Linked DNA regions of Astyanax mexicanus. The protein of the gene in region 1 binds, or shares a complex with, the protein of each later gene. Links are inferred from orthologs where the notes say so. Each region holds a gene or a part of one and is shown in the gene's direction. Other genes may lie near its edges.

Region 1 (9,851 bases):
AGCCTAATAGCTTCAGTGCTAATTGTTTGGTGGAGTATAAGCTTGTATTTCAGAGCTTACCGGTGGGATATACATTTCTACTACTTGTTAGCATCTTTAGCCTTGTAGCTAAAGTATAGCAGGTGGTGTGTTGTTATTGAGTGGAGTTAGAACAGCTGGTGGGACTGTAGTGAACAGCTTTATTCTGTTGGATACTGCAGTAATTCATTAGCGGACACTGTTCAGGCGCTGAGTGGTGAGAGAACACTCCAGGTTCTTTTTGTCTTCATCTGGTAGGCTGCTATTATTCTCGTTCTGTACACACACTCACACACACACTCACTCACTCTTGAGTCTGTGGTCCAGATGTGCTGCAGCTGGCGCTGGTATGGATTACTGGGCTGAACTGGAGGTATAAACGATATGAAAGCTGAGCCGCTGATGTCAAACAGGATGTCTGCTGATTTATAGCTGTGCTTCATGTATGTAGACACATGTACAGGAGTACAGTATTGGGGCACCTCATATTGATTGATTCTTCTAGACCTGTCTACCAATTTTCCTAGCAACCTAGTAAGTGTGTTTGATGGCCAATGTGTGCGTAGATGTGTGCATTCCCTCTCGCACTGTTTAAATTTGCGATAAAATATGCATTTTTTTAATATTGGGCCGATAATTGTCTGTTCTGCGATGTAGTGTAAAATAAATACTTTTGTACACAGCAGTCTTTCTCAATACTTAATGCTGTAATGTAGCTAACCTAAATCACGTGGTCTAGCTATGAGCATACTGGCCAGTGTTTAACCTCTCTCACACAGAATAACACCTCACAACTTATACAGGTGTGTGCAGCTGTCCCCTGAGGTAACACTTTGTGATTGATTTACTGTAAATACTGCTGTCAGTGTCACTGAAACTCTATGTGACATCTCAGTTCAGTGTTCAGTGCTGTTAATAATTGGTCTCAGATGATGTGCAGAGTTGTAGAGTTGCCCTTTTGCCCTGAGTATGTGATTAATAATAAACTAGCTGAGGTGTGCAAATTGGATAATCTGTGAATAATACGTTTAACAACAACAAAAAAATAACATGTACCCAGTTTTATGCCTCTCAAGCCTTATTCAGAAGGGATTCGTTTCTCAGGGGGTCCTGGGGTAATTTTCTCTTTTATGAGGGGTCTTTTTATTGCCGTCCGGAATGTACATGTGTGTGTTTTTCTCAGACGTACACTGAGAAAGTTACAGGCTGAAAACCCCTTTTTTCGTTTCCACGGAGATCCATGTAAACACATCAGCAAGTGAAAATGGAGGAGCTACTGAACACAGACTGTACAGTGGGCAAGACTGTAACTAGACATGGATATACTTTAGAGTGGTCAGAGGTGAAATAAGTTTTGATAGAGTCATGATGCCCCTCCCATCCAGGAGGGGAAAAAAACACAGCCTGCCCACAGTAAAAACTGATTGACTCACAGACTCTTTGCAGAGAACAGGCCAATCAGAACCCTCTCTGTTTTGCATGCGGTTCATAAATATGCACACAAGGGGAGCTCCTTTCTCCCTTTCCCTCTCTTTCACTCATGCGATTATGGAAAAAAGTCTGTGTCGCGCTGTGTGCGCGTTTGTGTTCACACTTGGGCCACTAGTTCTAGATCTAGTTCTCGAGATTTTTTCTGACTTGCGGGCATCGGGAAGCCATTATTGATATGCTCCCGCAACTTTCAGGAAACTTGGGAAGTCTGGTGTGTACTTGCTGTTTGGCCATAGGTTTGTGCATCGTTTGCATTGTAAATGTAACGGTTCACATACTTCCCTGTGTGCAACATGTGTTAGTGGAGGCTTCCACTAGAGGGCAGCTCAGGCATTAGATGATTGATGGACAAAACACCCCACTGGCTCCACCTCGACTTTATTTCTGCTGCATTTTCTGCGAAATGAGGACATATCTGACACATATATTATCTGTTGCAATGCAACTCAAGTCTGATCAACCAGATTAGAACTCATGCAACTTTTTGATCAAGCATATAAAAAATAAATTTCTGTAGTAGATAGGAAAATGGAGGACAACAGTGAGGGAGGGGTTCAGTGGTAGGATTGTGAGGTACTAGACCTCATAAATATCTGTACGGGTGTCTCTTGTAATTTGGCATTGCCGCAGCATAAAAGGAAACTAAAAAGCTTTAAAAAAAAAAGGAGGCAAACCATAGCTTCTTAGATTCTGGCTAGAAGGAAACTGAAACTTCACATGAAGCACTGTTATGTAGCATCTGCACATTACACAGCGCAGACCAGTGTAAGCTATAGGTCAAATTAAAAAGAAATTGTGTACCCATACAAGTTACATTTACTAGCATTTTATTTGACACAACTAATATAAATATAATTGCATTTTACATATTTTTTGTCTTAAGAAGAACAAGTGCGTTTAATTGCAGATAATCAGAATATTGTTGTGATTAATCTGATTTTTATTGATCGACACCCCAGTACAGACTAAAATAAGGTGATTTTGGCCACTATATGACCTGCTGTGTGAATGAAACCTTAGAGGCTCAAATACACTAAATGTCCAAATGTTTGTTGTGGACACACCTTCTCTTTCTAGTGAATCCATTCTAATACGTTTTTTAAGTAATGTTTATTTGTGCTCATTGCTAACACAGATGCAGATCCAAAGCTTTTCTTGACCCTTTAGAGAAGTACTTCAATAGAATAGGTCTATTCTAGAGTCAAATGTTTTTAAATTCCAGATGTATAAAACATCTTTTAAAAATAATGTGTATTTTTTTAAGTGAATTGGCTACTCTGAGAAAGCCAACGCTGACATACAAACGACTTTTAAAGTGTGTAGAAAACTAACTGATTATTTGAAACTGAATTATTTTTTTAGAAAGGTATGAATCTATTAATTCAGCTTCAGATTCTGTTTCAGGATCCTCTCCAGAACTGTGTTTATAAGGTAAATGGTGATTGTGAGGAGTGAGGGCGGTGTGAGAAAGGGGAAAACCTGTTGGGCAGCTTTACCCGTCGGCTGCTGTCTCCAGGGTGATCCAGCAGGGCAGTGGGTTTAGTGCCCGGCGAGGGCGGGACTACACACTTATCTGCTCCTTTAGAAAGCCGATTGTTGGAATGCTAAGTGGGCTGCAGCTGAAAGGCGAGCCGGGCCGGGCTGGACTGAAAGCCCAGGCTCTGGAGAGCTGTTCTCCTCAGCCTTTCTGAAACCGGGCAGAAAAATGCTAAACATGCAGAATCATGACCTCACTCTTTAGAACACAGGCTATTTATAGAGCACACTCTTTACAACAACCCCTATACTGCTTTATGTGTTAGCCCTTACAAAGAGAATGCTAACAACCCTAAAATTTCATTTTTACACCTTCACCTTCAGTCTACAGTTTCTTACAGTTTCTTACATTTGATTGCAAAGAGTATAAACCCAAAATATTTCATATTTTATTTGCCCAACTTCATTTAATTAATTAGTATTAATATACTTCACATTGATTTCTGCATTTTAGCACCAAAACTCCGACTAATGCCTTTTATAATTTTACTGTGCAGAAAGAAGTCGAAGCCTTATCTTCATCATGTCCAGAAGCACCGTCCACTTCTCTGATGAGGAATATTGGATGAACATCTTTTAAACAGGCTATTGGCTGTTCAATGGGTTCATATGTCTTTGTAAATCTACCCCAAGGAACAAACGGCCACACTGACACTCTCATGGTCTCTTCAGGCATTTCTGGGCAGGCCAAGCCCTTAAAGAACCAGTCTGATAAAGCGTGTGAGGCGGGGCCAGAGTGGAAGAGCCGTTTCCAGCAGGTTAACACTCGTTAGGCCTGCTCTTTCATGTGCTGAAGATGCCTGAGGCCAGGACAACACTCACTGGTAATGAAAATTGCAGCATTATTATAGACTATGAAAACAGCTTGCATTCAGCTAACGCTGCTAGCACTGATTACCCAATCCAGCCCAAGCTTCAGTTGTCTTACCAGTGTACACTTTCCTGCACCAATAACATCACACCATTTCACAGGCCTCCAGGAGCAGTGACAAGAACGTTCAACATTTATTAACACTGCAAAACACCTCACATTGCATCTCTTCACACAGATGCCATTACAACCCCCACACTGTAATATATGCAGTGCTGAAGGAAAGTAACTGGACAAAGTATTAATGTTGAATATGCTGCAAACCTGGCATGCAGTTCTGTCTCAGACAGATATGTAAATGATTACAGGTGAGGACTAATTAGATGCTGGATTTTACCACAAGAGGGCATAAAATGTTTTCCCTTGCTACCCTATAAGAAGGCTCCTAGCAGCTACCTTTGGGTAGTTACCTCTTGGTGAGAGTTTGTTGACTGCTAGACATGCCTCTACAACATGGTAAGCGCTTCAATCCTGCCATTGCTAAAGAGCGACACACTGCCCCAACTGCTGGTGTAATAATCTGGGGAGCATCACATGCAACAGTTAGTCACCCCTAGTAGTGAAACGAGGAACACTTACAGCTCAGCTAAATGCAGGACATCCTGCAGACACACATGTTGCTTACTCTCATGGCTTTTAAATTGCCCTTTTTCAGCAGGATAATGCTCACCCACACACAGCAAGGGTTTCCCAGAAATGTCTTCACAAAATATGCTACACCTTGTCCTGTCCGGACCTGAATTTATGAGAGCACCAATCTAGCATTTACGGGAGCAGCTGGCATGGCAGCTTTAGCAACCTACAAGTATAGGGCAGGATCTACTGGTCCAGCTGCATCATCTGTGGGTAAAGGTGCAGGATGTCATTCGGAACCTGTATACCTACATGTTCAACCGTATCATCATTACAATCACACAGATAAGTATTCTGCTAGCATAAAACATAGCAACACCTAAACAAACACCTAGCAACACCTATACCATAGCACACCTTAGCAACTGCCCAGCAACACCTTAGCAACACCTTACTATACACCTTACTAATACTTTAGCAACCAATTTTTATACCAAGGCAATATCTTACCAAACATCAAGCAAACACTTAGCAAAACCATTGCAACCACCAAAAAAAATATATCCATTCCAAATAAAAATATTGTCATTTAGAGCATTTATTGGCAGAAAATAAGAAATGGCTGCAATAACAAAAAAGATGCAGAGCTTTTAGACCTCAAATAATGCAAAGAAAACATGTTCATATTCATAAAAAAAAATCAATATTTGGTAAATTAACCCTGGTTTTTAATCACAGTTTTAATGCCTCTTGACATGTTTATCTACACCAGTCTTACACACTGCTTTTGGATTCAAGCAATTCAGCTTGGTTTTATGTCTTCAATGTGATCATCCATCTTCCTCTTGATTATAGTCCAGATGTCTGGTTAAATCATAGAAACTAATATTTTAAAAGTGGTCCTTTTTTTTTCAAGAGCTGTATGTTCAAATATTTGCTGACACCCTTCTAATGAACACTACATTTAGCTACTTACCACTCAATGCTAAAAGAGGTGTGCAAATGCACACAGCACAGGTTGCCTAGACCCTGTACATTGCTGCCAATAGAAAAGGACTGTCTGGAGCAAATAAACTAATATAACTAAAATATATATAATCAAATCCTCAGAGCAATGAGTCCAGAATCTAGTAGGAAGTATTCTCTGAACAGTAGAGACAGTATAAATCTATATATATATATATATTTATACAATATATAAAATGTACTCTAAAAAGGAGAATAAACTATTTTTTATTACTCTTGATTTTAGTAGAAACAGTGGATAAACAGCTGTCTCAATACTTTTGGCCATAAGATTTATGTCAAGATCATTTTTTCAACGTTAAGCACAAAACAGCCAATCGTAGCGGAGGAGGGCGTGGCCTGTCGGAGTACGGGTGTGGTGTAAAGCTTTGATCGAACTTTTCGTGTGCGCTCGTGGGTTTCCGTAAAGTGACCGGGAACGCGCGCGCGCTCGAGAGAGAGAGAGAGAGAGCGAGAGAGACTTACTTGGGGAAAGTGAGAGACCGGACTGGTTTACCGTGTGTGTGTCTGCGGGACGGAGAGCAGGTGAGTTACCGGGGCTTGTCTCGTGGTTTAGACGGGTTGGGGGCAGTGTTTCCCGTGGCAGACTGTGGGACGGAGCGCTGCAGTCTCTCCACCGATCCTGGAGCTCCACCTGGGCACAGCCTGCCCCACAGCCCCCGCACAGCGCCCTCAGCCCGGACTCAGCGAGAGGGGGGACCGCTGACTGTGGAGCTGTGTGTGTGTGTGTGTGTGTGTGTGTGTGTGTGTGTGTGTGTGTGTGTGTGTGTGTGTGTGTGTGTTTTGTAAACCTTTAGTGACAACCAACAGGTTAGTGAGAGAATGTGTGTGTGTTGGTAGGTAAGAGAATGTGAAGTTTTAAGACAGCAAGTATGTGTGTTTAGTGGCTGAAGATATGTTTTAACTTCTGTGAAAGAGAGAGATAGAGATAGATAGAGACAGAGTGTGTGTGTGTGTGTGTGTGTGTGTGTGTGTGTGTGTGTGTGTGTGTGTGTGTGATGTTTGTTTGAGTTTAATGCCAACAAGTGTGTGTGTTTGAGAGTTTTGGAATGTGGACCTGTGTTGTGTGTGTGTGTGTATGCGTGTGCCTGTGTGTGTGTTTTCATTTTAAGCATGCATGGCACAATAGAAAACATTTGGTATTAGTTGCTTAATTGAAATTTAAGCATCAGGTAATGCCTGGAATTTGAAAATTGACTAAAATTGATCCGATATTAGAGTATCAACTGATATTGGAATCTGAAATGATACAAGACTGGTATTTAAGCATCACCTGATACAAACAGATATTAGTATTTCAGAATCGAGAGACACAACATGATGTGATATATAAGTATTGTCTAATACCTGTCTGATATTAGACTGTATGAATACTGATCCAATATTGGTTCGCATTTATCCCATATTGGGACGTGATTATCGGTTGATTTTCAGTCTTTGAATTTATATTGGAATTTGGGTATCATCTGTTACTGATCCGCAAGTGGTTTTCTGATCTGATATTGAAATTAGCGTATAATTCAATTCTGGCCCAATATCTGTAATTAAGTTACATATCAGTCTGATATTGGAATTTTAGAATTAGTCTAGTTTAATATGGAGTGTTTGATAGCAGTTTTTTAAATCTACTTTTTACCTGCTTATTGCATATTGGCCAGTTTTGCGTGATCTGATATCTGATTCCAGAATTATCCTCTAATATCTGATCTGTGTCAGACTGGGTATCAGATCTGTGCCATCTACAGTGTTTACCGATAGTTAAGTGTGTATGTGTGTGTTTGCGTGTGTATTATATATACACTATATTGCCAAAAGTATCCACTCGATTGAATTGCGTTTGGTGCTGTAAGGCTTGGAGATGCTCAGCCATATACTGCTGCTCAGCTCTCTACTAAGGCCACATGAAGTTGAGAGGTCTGTACTGATTGGTTCCTTTGTGCACTGTGTTCTTCAGCATCCGCTGACCCCATTCTGTTCAATTTGTTTCCAGTTGCTTCTATTTTGTTATAATATCACAGTTGGCTGTGGAATATTTAGTAATGAAGAAATTTCACAATTGGACACAGGTGCTGCATTCTATCACATTACCACACTGGAATTAACTGAGCTCCTGAGAGAGACCGATTTTTTCACTAATGTTTGTAGAAGCAGTCTACATGCCTTTATACACCTGTGATTGTGATTGGAACCTGTGTTCAATGATTTGGATGGGTGAGAGTATACTTTTGGCATTATAGTGCATACAGTATTTATTTTGTTTTTGCTTTTTTGTCATACTGATATTTTTCTGATTATCAAACAAACATTATATCACACAAAGTTAACCTGAGTAAGTATAAAAAGCACTTTTAAAATAATAATGTCATTTATTAAAGGAAAACTGTCCAAACCAATCTAGCCCTGTGTGAAAAAGTGTTTGCTCCCTAAACCTAATTTCTTCTAATAACATGGTTGGGCCACCCTTGGCGGCAACAACTGCAATCAAGCTTTACCGATTACTGGCTATGAATCTTTCACTTCTCTTTTTGGTGTTTGGAATTTTGTTCAACTTTTGTTTGCAGAATTGTTTTATTTCAGCCACATTGAAGAATTTTCGAGCATAAACAGCCTGTTTAAGGTCATCCATAGCATCTCAATCAAGCTTTGACTAGGCCATTCCAAAACTGTAATTTAAGCAATTCAGAGGTGGACTTGTTAATTGTCCTGCTGCAGAACCCAAATACGCCTAAGCTTGAGGTCATGAAATGATGCCCAGACATCATCTTTTAGGATTTTCTGGTAAACAGCAGAATTCCAGGTTACATCTATTACAGCAAGTTGTCCAGGACCTGAAGCAGAAAAGCAACCCAGACCATCACACTAACACCACCATGTTTTACATTAAGCATGATGTTCATTTTCTGAAATTATGTGTTAGTTTTTACGCGAGATGTAACAGGACACACACCTTCCAAAAAGTTCCACGTCAGTCCAAATAATATTTACCCAAAATCCTGGGGATCATCAAAATGTTTTATATGAAATGGGCCATTTTGTTTTTTTGGTCAGCAATGTTTTTTGCCCTGGAACTCTCCCAGTTTCCTTATTATTAATGAATCATTAACACTGACCTTAACGGAGGCAAGTAAGACCTGCAGTTCTTTAACTGTTGTTCTGGGTTCTTTTGTAACCTCCTGGATGAGTTGTCCATGCCCTTTTTATAATAATTTTGGTCAGCTGGTCCCCCCTGGGAAGGTTCACCTGTGTTTTATGTTTTCTTAATTTTTGTGAATAATAGCTCTCACTGTGGTTCGCTGGAGTCCCAAAGCCTTAGAAATGATTGTGTAACCTTTTCCAGACTGATAGATGAACAATGACTTTGTTTTCTGATCTGTTTTTGAATTTCTTCAGATTGGGTCATAATATATTGCTTTTTGATATCTTTTGTTTGCTTCATTTTTTCAAACAGGTTCTATTTAAGTGATTTCATGATTGTATAGATCTGGCAGTAACCAGGCCTGGTTGTGGTTTGTAAAATTGAAGACAGCTTTCCAAAAAGTGTGATTAATCACAGTTATTTTATGGGGTGGAAGGGTTGACAAAAAATGCCAAAACAAAAGAAGTCTGAAAGGGGGCAAATACTTTTTCCCACCACTGTATGTGTGTTTACTGTGATCATGTGACCATCACAGTGTGTTTATCTCCAGTTGGCTGCTGTGTGTGTAATCAGTGACAGCAGACTGTGTGTTTGTGTGTATGTATGTGTGTGCATGTGTGTGTTTCCAGGCTTCCCTTTTCTGCTCCTGTTACTGTGTGGAGGAATGTGGCGTTCCTGATCCAGAGAGGAAGGTGAAGTCCGTCCTGCTTAATTTTTTTCGGAGCTGAAAACAAAGCAGAAGCGAAACCTTCTGAGCCAGGAAAAGCCAGCAAAAAGAACCGGTCCGAAAGAGGGACGAGCATGGCATCCGGCGGGTTCAAAGCCAATGCTGCCACGGATTTCTTGGAGGAGTGGAAGGCTAAGCGAGAGAAGATGAGGGCCAAGATGCTGGGGGACATTGCCGCGGCGACCGGGCAGTGCCCACCTTCCGGCCTGCAGGTCACGGGCAGCACCGGCACCAAACCCCCAGAACCGAGCAACAACGGAAACTCTGCGGCCGTGAACTGCGTGGCCTATCCGGTTGTTCGGTCTTCCTCCTCTTCTGCTCTGAGGAGGCCCGAGGATGATCCCAACTCCAGGCCAGCCGAGACGCCTATTAAAAAGGAGCCCAGCCCCCCTGCTGCCACCGCCTGCCCGGACAGCGATAAGGAGAGCCCCCCGCACGGGAAAGGCAAGGAGAAGAAAAGCTCTGGACCCAGT
Region 2 (10,378 bases), on another chromosome or scaffold:
GAGGAGTAAGCTGGCCTGCTCAAGGCAGCAGCAGCAGCGTCTGCATGCCTCTCCTGCAGATATCAGCACCCTCAGCATATTGTGCTAGTGCTGCACAGGAAAATGTGAAATTCACTCGCAGACAGCTGAGTGTTGGGTAATTTAATTCACGGCCCTCCTCCTCCTCCACCACCACCAGCAGTGTAAAGTGAGACTCATTACCTTCAAGCACACTCGACCTTTCATCCTCACCCTGTAAAGGACAATGGACAAATAAGGACGACTATGATATAACACATAAAATTAATAATAGCCATCACTGCGTAGCCTGCCTGAGCTGGGAATAACTGAGCACAAATGGTTACAATCCGTTCACTATGCTGCACCCTGATCATCCAGTTCAATAGAAAAAACAAACGATGTCCTGAGTTTATATGATTGCACACATCTTTGTAGCAAATGGCAGAGTAACCTATTTAATTAAAAAATGCTTACAGTAAAAATGTGTACGTCTTCAGGGTGATTCTCAAGATATATGCATCATACTATATCCTACATTAGCAGATGATATGGCCATATGGGTATAGCAATAATATGACCTAGAGCATGGTTTAATTCATGTCAGCACATATTTAAAGTATGCTACCTTTCACCCCACATTAAGCTGTGCGTTACTCTCCCCTTTATCAACTAACTGCCAAGCAAATCACATCTGATCTCATTCATATTCATTCCTTATGAGAGTATAAGAGCAATCTTAAGGCTATTGCTGCTTGTGAGTGCAGTGGTAGACACAAGGAGGCAGTAAAGTGCTTTTCCTGCAGTCCATCCACACACTGCCAAGAGCTGAAACTACACAACTAATCCTGTGCTTTATTATATATAGTTGGCCCCTCTAGCGTGAGTATCTTTTGCATAAGAAAGTGATCTGTTAAGAAAAGTTGCACCCTATACTGTTTCAATCCCTCAGTTTTACTTTCAGCTAGAGCTTTGCTAGAGTGGTTGTCAGAGTGGATCAGACATAAAATATGAAAAACAAAATGATTTACACAAAATATAATACTGCTGTTATGTCCACTCATTTTTTTTATGTAGCGAAACCTGATATACGAGTGTATCTCCACGTTTTGACAGGCATGGGTCTGTAGAAAATAACTGCGGTCTGCACTGTAGACATGTAAATCAGCCCCCTGTGAGGCTTTTAAAGCTGATAAAATATCTGGTTGAGGGGATTTACTGTCAATGCAATATTTCTCCACCGCGTACAGTGCACACACTCTGTGACTCAATAACAAGAGAGAGTGGATTAGTGCAAATGTTTGGGGGTGACAATGAGATTACCTCATGTTAAATTTCCTTTTGGCATGGCACAATTCACACTCGCATACCTCCAGCTCCAAATCCATTTGTGAAAAGAAAGAGGGGCTTGTGTGGAGCTCTCTGGAGGCTCCAATGTGGAAACATGGTGAATGAGTCACCTCGAGCTGAGCTGGCAGCTGCTGGAGGTCTCTGCTTGTTGTGTGGTGGCGATGGAGGCGTCCAAAGCCACAGTTGACCCAACAGAAGGGCCGTGGAGCTGGAGCGAGTTCCTCTGCTGCTTTAAGGCTACAGGTACTTGCCTGTTCTAAAGACTGGCACAAATAGGAGAATCTTATGGGCTTTAAAAAATAATGAGGCCCTCTATGCAAACATGACCTTTAATTGCTTCAAAATGAATGTTCTTGTTTATTCACTAGTGCTCGGCCTTATCCACAGTGTTCTAATAAGTGCTAATTAATGCATAGTTTAAAAAGGCTTTAATCAAGGAAAACTAAATTGGATAAGGTTTTGCGATTGTATGAAAACATGTTTCAAAAGTGTATTGGCCTTAATTATGCATTTAATAATTGAGAATAATTATAAAAATAATTCATACATCAATTTTCCTAACCATGTGGGGTTAGAATACTCCCTGGACATGGCACCAGTCAATTGCTGGGTTCCACACACACATTTTACTCACACCTAGGGGCAATTTAGCACAGGCAATTCATCCACCATCTTTGTCTTTGGGAGGTGGGAAGAACACAATGTACCTGAAGGAATTTCCAAAAGTGGACACATTAAGAAAACACCAAAATCCTCACAGAGAGAGACCAGAGTAAGAATTGAACCCACATCCCCAGACCCCTGGAGCAGTGTGGCGCACACACTGCCTGCCTCCTAAAATAAAAGAAAAAAAATCTACAGTGAATAAAATACTTATTTGATCCCTTGCTGATTTTGTCTGTTTGCCCACTGACAAAGACGGCCTTAGAAAGCTCTTTGGCCTTGCCCATGTTATAGAGGTTGGAGTTTGACTGATCAAATGAGTCTTTGAACAGGAGTCTTTTATACAGATGACAACTTAAGACAGGTGTCTTTAATGCAGGTAGTATCAAGTTGATTAGCAGCGTCTAACTGGTCTGTAGGAGACAGAACTCTTAATGGTTGGCAGGAGATCAAATACCCATTTCTCTCTGCAAAATGCAAATGAATTTACATAATTTCTGCAATGTGATTTTTGTGGATTTTATCTCCAACTGTTAAATTAACCTACTCTTAAAATTTTGTCTTTCTTCACTGTGCATGTATTCAACTTTTTAGTATATACCAAATATTGAGTTTTCACTTCAAGAACTTGCTGTTCGGATGGATGGATTGATGGATTGATGGATTGATGGATGGATGGATGGATGGATGGATGGAAAGATACTTTATTCATCCCAAAGACAAATTCTGGAATCAATATCACTACATAATATTGTTGCTCTCAGACAAAAGACCTGTATCTGCAAAATGGTAACTTTACGGAAAAAGTAAAAAAAAACTTGTTCAGCATGACATGTTGAGACAATGTAAAAAAGAGAACACCTAGACATAGCTGATCATTTAATGTAACTTATATCTTTTCTTATTTGGTGTCCTATATCATGCTCAATAATGGTGGAGATAAATTAAATTGACTACACAAAAATGGAAAAATTAAAAATAGATATTTTCTCCACTTACATCCTACACACATCTCAAATAGACTGTAAAGTAAATGATACAATTTGTTATTTTATCTAATTAAATGTTTACATACTACTATTTATATTTTATATTAGATTTTCCATGATAAATGGCCTTCAAGTGTTTAAGAAGACTACTCAGAGTCAATGGCGGGAAGTTGCAAAAGTAGCACGCTGAGGGTAACAATAAAACTGGTGGTCCAGCAGCCACAAACCATCACTCATTCCCATGCTATGAGACCCATTGTAATTGCCCTTTCTGCACAGATTCCAAGTACACAAAGTTCTGTGTCATTACAAGCTGTTCAGTATGCCTTTGATGTGCTGCCCTTCTGCTGGTCTTGGTGTAACATGATGTTCTGGTAATGTTTGGTGTCCTTTTAGACGTATTACTTACAAAAAAAGCACACAAGGTAACAGCAAAGCTTGATAGTTGCTCCTCCAAGCAAAACTCATCTGGTTCTTGTAGCAGTCCACTTGAGCTGGTTCTCACAGCTGGCTCCAGACGGCTTCCTGAAACGAGAAGGGCAGCTGGGTTGTGGTAAGGTTGTACGGCTGATTGCGTATGACATCTTTATGGTTGATCAAGGGTACCGTGTCTTCAGAGCTCCGGGGCTGCAGGAGAAGGTTGTAAAGAATGTGTTTTCTTGTTTTCATGCAAGAGATCTAAGCTGTTCTTGGCCCAATTCTGTAAAACTCTGTAAGATTCTATAAAAGTTGTGCAACCCAAGCTTGTGTGCCACAGCAGAACGTTATAAAAGTGGAACATCATTATTTGGATATGAAAAGGAGTATCCAAGCAAGTGCCCCCAACAAATAAACCGCACTGAATGAAATATGGGAACGAAGCTTGTTCAAACATGGGCATGTTATTGTTTCAAATGAGTTGAGCAACCGTGCAGATTGGATCATTTCAAGTCAGAGGAGGTGTGTACGGCCAGAGCGAACACAAGGGGACAGTAAAGCCTTTTTACAACACACAGCTCCCCTGATGCCGCTTGCTCTCAACACTGCTCAGCATTATTGCAGTAAGCTACTGCTTATTCAGACCTCAGTCCTCCTCATCACAGCTTATTGTTTCATCCAGTGTTTCACACTTAGCTCTGCCAAATCGAGGCGTTCTGTTTTTTTCTCTATACAAAATGAGACACTTGTAACCGGGAGGTTTGGCCAGAGAGGTGTGTGTAATTGTGAAAGGGTTGCGGATGAGTTCAGCTTGTCTCCAGACGGCTGAGGTTGTTAATAAGCCCGGCTGTGTGTTGAATCATATGGAAAGCAGCCACTCGGTCTACACGAAGGAGGTTCAGTGAGTCAACCCACAGAGAGTACATCTAGACAGGTGGTCAGAAACTCAGCAGGCAGTTAGGCAGTCATCACAGAAGTGGAAGTGTTCTGATAAACCTGGAGCTAAACAGGATACAGGCCTTCTGTCTGCTTCAAGTGAACGTATTAAAGTAGACAAATTACCCTAACATGTCAAATATCATTGGATTGGAATGGTTCATAATTTGATCGTAACATGGCTTGGAAATGCCAACAGCAGTATAAGTTGTATTAGTGTTTATTGTAGGTGAGGCTGAACTATGGCCAGTGTGAACATGGCATGGCGACATTAATTAAAGGGGCTCAAGTGAAGCCATCTAATTCTGATCCTGCTATCAGAACTTTAGATTTCTCAGACCATGCTACATTTTTCCTGTCTTCTACATTTCAGTTTTGGTGATTCTGTGCCCACTGAAGCTTCAGCTTTCTGTTCTTGGCTGACAGCAAACATCCCCTCCTGAAGACAGTACAAAATGCTTAACATTGCTTCATAATGACATGCACATTCTCTGAAATTGAATCTTTATATTATTGATATAGTAGGAAATATATATTTATATTTAATATTATATAATATTAATATTTAATATATAATATAATATATAATATTAATATTAATATTTAATAAATTTATATATTTAATATATATATATATTTATTTACTATTGGCATATAATGCATTACATTGTTTGATTGTTGATCAACTAGCTTTATATATAGACTTAATATTTGTAGGGTAAAGTGAAGGTGATTGGGACCGATTTTGAACCAAACAAATGATCCATTTCTGTAATATTTTCGATAAGGTTACCATTGAAATTATTACTAGATGATCTGCAGTGTCACCGAGTTTGATGAAGCTCCTCATCACTGAGTGAATCAAGCGATCAAGGTGATAAGAAGACCATGCTGCTCCCATTCTGCCTTTCACTCTGAAAACTTTCCCTTCTATAATAATATATAATATAATAGTATAATTTTTATTTTTTAACTGCTCACAATACTTTAGCACAAAAAATGTTGAGTACTTCAGTACTTAGGTGTGGTGCTTAAAGAACACTTCACCTTCTATTCAAGTCACTTTATTGATTTAGCAAATGTACTTTTACTCAAGTCTGGGTCTCTAGTACTTTATACATGTCTGCTTCACTGAAGATTCAAACAGGAGACATTTGGTGTATACATATCTATACTAAACTTGAAATGAGAAAGGGTGAGTGTGGGAAACAGCAAAGCAGCAGAGGTGCTGTCACCACTCACCAAACAAGCGCATAAAATTAAACACCAGGGGGATTTAGGGACAAACTGTTCCTAAATAATTCCAGAGCAGATCCTGTTCCACACAAATATGCATAAACACACAGCTAAGCACATTAGCATTTAAACATAACCCAGGACGAAGCTATCTAGAGAAACAACAGGGTAAATGTAAGCTAGCACAGTAGGCACTTCCTATGCTAACCTCATGTTCACACATCAGCTGATGAGCAGTGTTTAGAGCAACAGGCTACTGAGAGCCAGTGCAGCTGGGAAGGAGGGAAGGAGGGAAGAAGAGAGAGGGAGGGAGGTTCCTAGCAGCTGGGAGCTATTTTACCACGTGACAGCAGGGCTGTTTGTAGCAGCCATCATATTACCCAACACAAGCCCAACCTAAAAAAGGAGAGGAGCAGAGAGAAGCAGAGGGACGAGGCGGAGAGAGAGAGTCATGGCTTTGCACAGGAATACCGTTTGAAAGAAGCTCCTGTCTCCGCCGCTTTGCCTTGGTTCAGCTAGCCTGTGTAGTCTACGTGAAGTTCAGGTAAGCCTGTGAGTCTGTTGCTTTGTCTTTTTCACACATTTTGGGGCTTTTGTTTGGAGTGGATGTGCTCATGTAGTCTCGCATATCGAGCTAGCTAGGTTACCTACCCGTGTGTTTTTAACGGCAGACGCTGTGTGGTAAGCTAGCTAGCGTTATTTAGCTTCAGGCACACAGGAACCCATTGAACCTGCTATAGACAAAACATTGAGGAAATTAGACTAGCTGGCGTTAGCTATGTTAGATTAAAAAGTCGTGTTTTAAATGATATAAAGGATTAGTCTGTTGCATCCTTACGTAAAGCAGGGGAAACGTGTCGTTAGATATTGTATTTTCGCTAGGTTAACTAGCTGGCTACAGGTAACAGCTGGTTAATTAGCTAACTAGCAAGGTAACGGTTAGCTTAGCTAGCTACCTAGCTTAGTTAACTAGCCATTTAACCTGGCAACATGAGGCCTTATTAACCACTACTTGTTTAATTAATGTAGGTTAAGCTAGAGTAATATGTTTGTAAGGTTATGTTTAGCTAGTTAACGCAGTGTCTTTGCTTCAATATGTTGGCTGCCCTACGCATATTAATCTATGTTAACTACATATATATAAATAAATAAATAAATGTTAGCTATAATAAAAAAATATAACGTTATATAAATAAGGGACCACTTCAGTGTCTGAATCAGTTTCTCTGATTTTACTCTTCATATGTATATGTTTGAGTAAAATGAACATTGTTATTTTATTTTATAAACTACGGACAACATTTCTCCCAAATTCCAAATAAAATATTGTCATTTAGAGAATTTATTTGCAGAAAATGAAAAATGGCTGAAATAACAAAACAAAAAAAGTTGCAGAGCTTTCAGACCAAAATCTCAAGCAGTTAAACTTTGTTCTTCCTCTTGATTATATTCCAGAGGTTTTCAATTTGGTAAAATCAAAGTAAAACATCAAGTGTTGCAAACACACACACACACACACACACACACACACACACACACACACACACACACACACACACACACACACCATAGCTAGTGTAACTCTTACGTTACTGTTAATCTAACGAGATTATACAGTGTATCCCAGCCTGTGCCGAATAATATGCCTCTGTTTGAACACTAGCTAGTCAGCTAGCTAGCTAGCTAATCTAGGCTGATTAGCTTTAGTTAACCTAGCAACATAAGGGCAGTTCACAGCCATAGTAACCGCTGTTTGTTTAAAACGAGATGGGTTAAGCTAGGCTAAAACTCTCTATAGCATAGACGTTGTAGCTAGCAATGTTTGTTGTTTCTTCAGTGTTTCCTCAGCCTGTGCCCCATAGATAGCTTAGCTAACCGCTAGCTAACGTTGCTTCTCACACACACACACAAAGCCTGCTGTGAACGTGGGCCACCATTTCAGTTTCATTTTTAGTGTCAGACTGTGGGATGTTTTGTCTCACAGTAGCCCATATGTAGACTGTTAGCGTTAACCGCTAGATAAACAAGACTGCTGATTAACCAAGCCTGGATTTAACTACCGCCATAATCTTAAAACAAGCTAACTAGCTTGCTAGCTAATATCCTGTTGTGGTGTATCTTGGTGCAGTGTGTTTAGCTAGCTAACCTATATGTAGCAATATGTGTTTACCATTAAATGTACTCCAGCTTTGTAACTACTATTATTTTTCTACAGTTCAGTTTACTTTAATGTACTCTTTGCTGACCTCCTGCAGACTCTATGGCTAGTTATGAAATAAAAGCATGTTACAGCTCACAAACTGCCTTGTAGTCTCACAGCAAGCAACTAGCTTGTTATATAGACTGAGATTCAGTCGTTCTAGTTAATTGTTCACAATATTTTGTTCTAGAAATCAGGTCAGAACTAGTTATAAGGAACCTAATGTTTTAATAAAGCATTTTAAATAGTTCAAATTATTGGAACAGAGCAGTAGAAGCAAAAACAAATACAAATACTCTATACTCTACTTTAAAAGAGCTAGTTTTATCCTTGGCCATAACCCAGTACCCTTACATGTTAGAAAATAAGATGAACAAAAGCACATGTATGCCCTGTCCTGTCTTTTCTTCCTCAGTTAAAAGGCTGTAAGGAACTTTCCACATTTATATTGAAAAACATTCTTTAAACTGACCTCTTAAAGACTTTATTGTGCCTTTTAACATGGGGAAAACCTTTTGTGAGGTTTAGGCATTTTTCCCTGTGATTTTCATGTTAACCTAGCTTTTTAGCTAGCTAGTAAGCAAGCAGTATGATGTTTGTTTAAACTAACGTATCACACTGAAAAAAAGGGGGTTTGCAGGATATTTTTTGAAGAAAGCTTGTGTTCTGATCATGTTAACCTTAGCCAGGCTTGATAACAGCTGCTCTAGGAAAGCAGCCAGGTTGTGGTTTCCTCCTGTAGTTCAGCACATCTTGCCCCTTCTTTCATTTTAAGTACTGGCCAATCTTTTCATGCACTGTTTGAAGTTCTAACCTCAGGAGCAGGAACCAGCAAAGTGTTTCTGTCTGAACTGAAGTGGGGTTGTTTAGGGGCACACATGGAAAGAGATCCACTGCTAGCTAGGTCACCAAGCTGCAGTTCAGTTCAGTGCAGCTTTTTTTGGCTCCCCCCAGATAACATGAGCCCACTGGGCCCTGTAAGGGTAGCCCAAATGGGAACCAGATAATTGTCCAAATTTCGTCCATTGTTGTCCATGTGGATGCCTGACACCGATGACTGGGTTGAGCACCTAACATGGTACCTTTGTGAGATTAAGTTGGGCTGTAATGGTCATGAGCAATTTGGAAAGCCAGTTGGGTCCCAGTAGCAACACGCGTACACACCCTCTCAGAACACACACAATGTTCCATCATCGTGAGCCCCACATGAGCATGTTGGCTCGATTACTAGTGCATTTAGCAATGTGGGCCTGTAAGATTCTTGACTAAGCTGTTTGTGTTCAGTGGGTGCTGATATGAGTTCTGTTACAGGGAGATTTTATCAGTGGAGAATATTGAGAAAGAGGAAGTACTGCATATGATGCAAAAAAAAAAAAACACTATAATTGAGTATATATTCTAATCAATAGTCATTTGCTTTCATTTGTGTCTCTACCCAGTGCCAACACAACAAGATAGCCAGACAGCATTTGCTTGATGCAAAAGCTCTGCAGATTTGCATGACACTTAGCTAGTTGAGGTTGTGGGGGTGTGCAACTTTGCCTCAGATTTGGACTTACTGGTATTGCAGTTATGCTCAGTTCATGATGGGTTTACTGACACTTTCTTCACAATTGACTGTGTGATGCACAGGACCTTGTTTGAAACTAGCTTTGAGAAGGTTTTGTTAATAAACATGTGTACACCCGTCAGCTATAATCAATGAAACCACTAATTGGTAAAGTAAATAACATGTGATTATCTCATTACAAAGGCACAGTGGCAAATGGTAAGAGATATAGGGTGGCTAGAGAACAGTCACTTCTTGAAGTTCTCGTGCCTTTTAAAGGGTTACATTGACTGTTGATTGGCTAATGTCTCTTCTGTTTGGTAAGCAATTTAATCATCCACTTCTAGCAGGTTGGTCATGATGTAAAAATTGCTTCTGTTTTAGTAATTAGAGAGAGCAAACAGTGATTTAATCTCATTTGTCCATCTGTGCCCTGACTGATGCCCAGAAACCTGAATGCTCAAAGCCATTTGGATCCATGTGAGTGACAACTAGCACACAGTGTCCTGGTGTTGACTTAGCTCAGTAGTTTGTGAAGTTGTTTTGGCTTAAGTGTTGCTTTCAAGCGTATGGGAACAGACAGTACCTTGAAGTGGGTAAATGTGGGACCCGGCAGTGCTCAGGGTCTGTACCAATCCTACAACAAAGGGGCTTGTACTCATTCATGCTCACAGGTGCCAATTATTTACAAAACTGATTTCATTCTTAAGTGCCAAATGGATCTGCAGTGCTGTGTATGTACTTGCACTGTTACAGAGGCAGGCTTATGTCAGCTCACTTGCAGTTTTTGCATTCATACACTAGTACATGCACTGTGGGATTTGTGTAGTGTGCTGAAAGACCTTTAGTCACAGATTTATGCACATTTGAATCCTTTTGATTTGAGTCACTGTAGTTTTAACAAAGGAATTGATTAACTGCAGGGAAGGAGAAATGCAAACATAGGACATTTTTTTAGGAGCGCATGCAACCTAATAATGAAAACGTTAATTTATTTGCTACGCAATATTATCAGGTTTTCACATCAGTCTTTTACCTAAG

What was found.
Region 2: the proteins of pawr (region 1) and spsb1 are in contact, whole or in part, in a crystal structure (PDB 2JK9), measured with the Homo sapiens proteins. The link is inferred for Astyanax mexicanus from reciprocal best matches to the Homo sapiens genes PAWR and SPSB1. Residues at the interface, in NP_001341661.1 of Homo sapiens: Glu68, Leu69, Asn70, Asn71, Asn72, Leu73, Pro74; in NP_079382.2 of Homo sapiens: Arg77, His78, Pro79, Val80, Ala81, Gln82, Gly110, Thr111, Tyr129, Val216, Trp217, Gly218.

Annotation. Positions count from the first base shown.
Region 1 is NC_064409.1:25,119,653-25,129,503, forward strand, and holds the start of pawr (PRKC apoptosis WT1 regulator protein), read left to right. Parts: upstream 1-5,888; 5' UTR 5,889-6,040; intron 6,041-9,280; 5' UTR 9,281-9,452; coding exon 9,453-9,851. UniProt on the Homo sapiens protein: Pro-apoptotic protein capable of selectively inducing apoptosis in cancer cells, sensitizing the cells to diverse apoptotic stimuli and causing regression of tumors in animal models.
Region 2 is NC_064420.1:36,946,230-36,956,607, reverse strand, and holds the start of spsb1 (SPRY domain-containing SOCS box protein 1), read left to right. Parts: upstream 1-5,886; 5' UTR 5,887-6,140; intron 6,141-10,378. UniProt on the Homo sapiens protein: Substrate recognition component of a SCF-like ECS (Elongin BC-CUL2/5-SOCS-box protein) E3 ubiquitin-protein ligase complex which mediates the ubiquitination and subsequent proteasomal degradation of target proteins.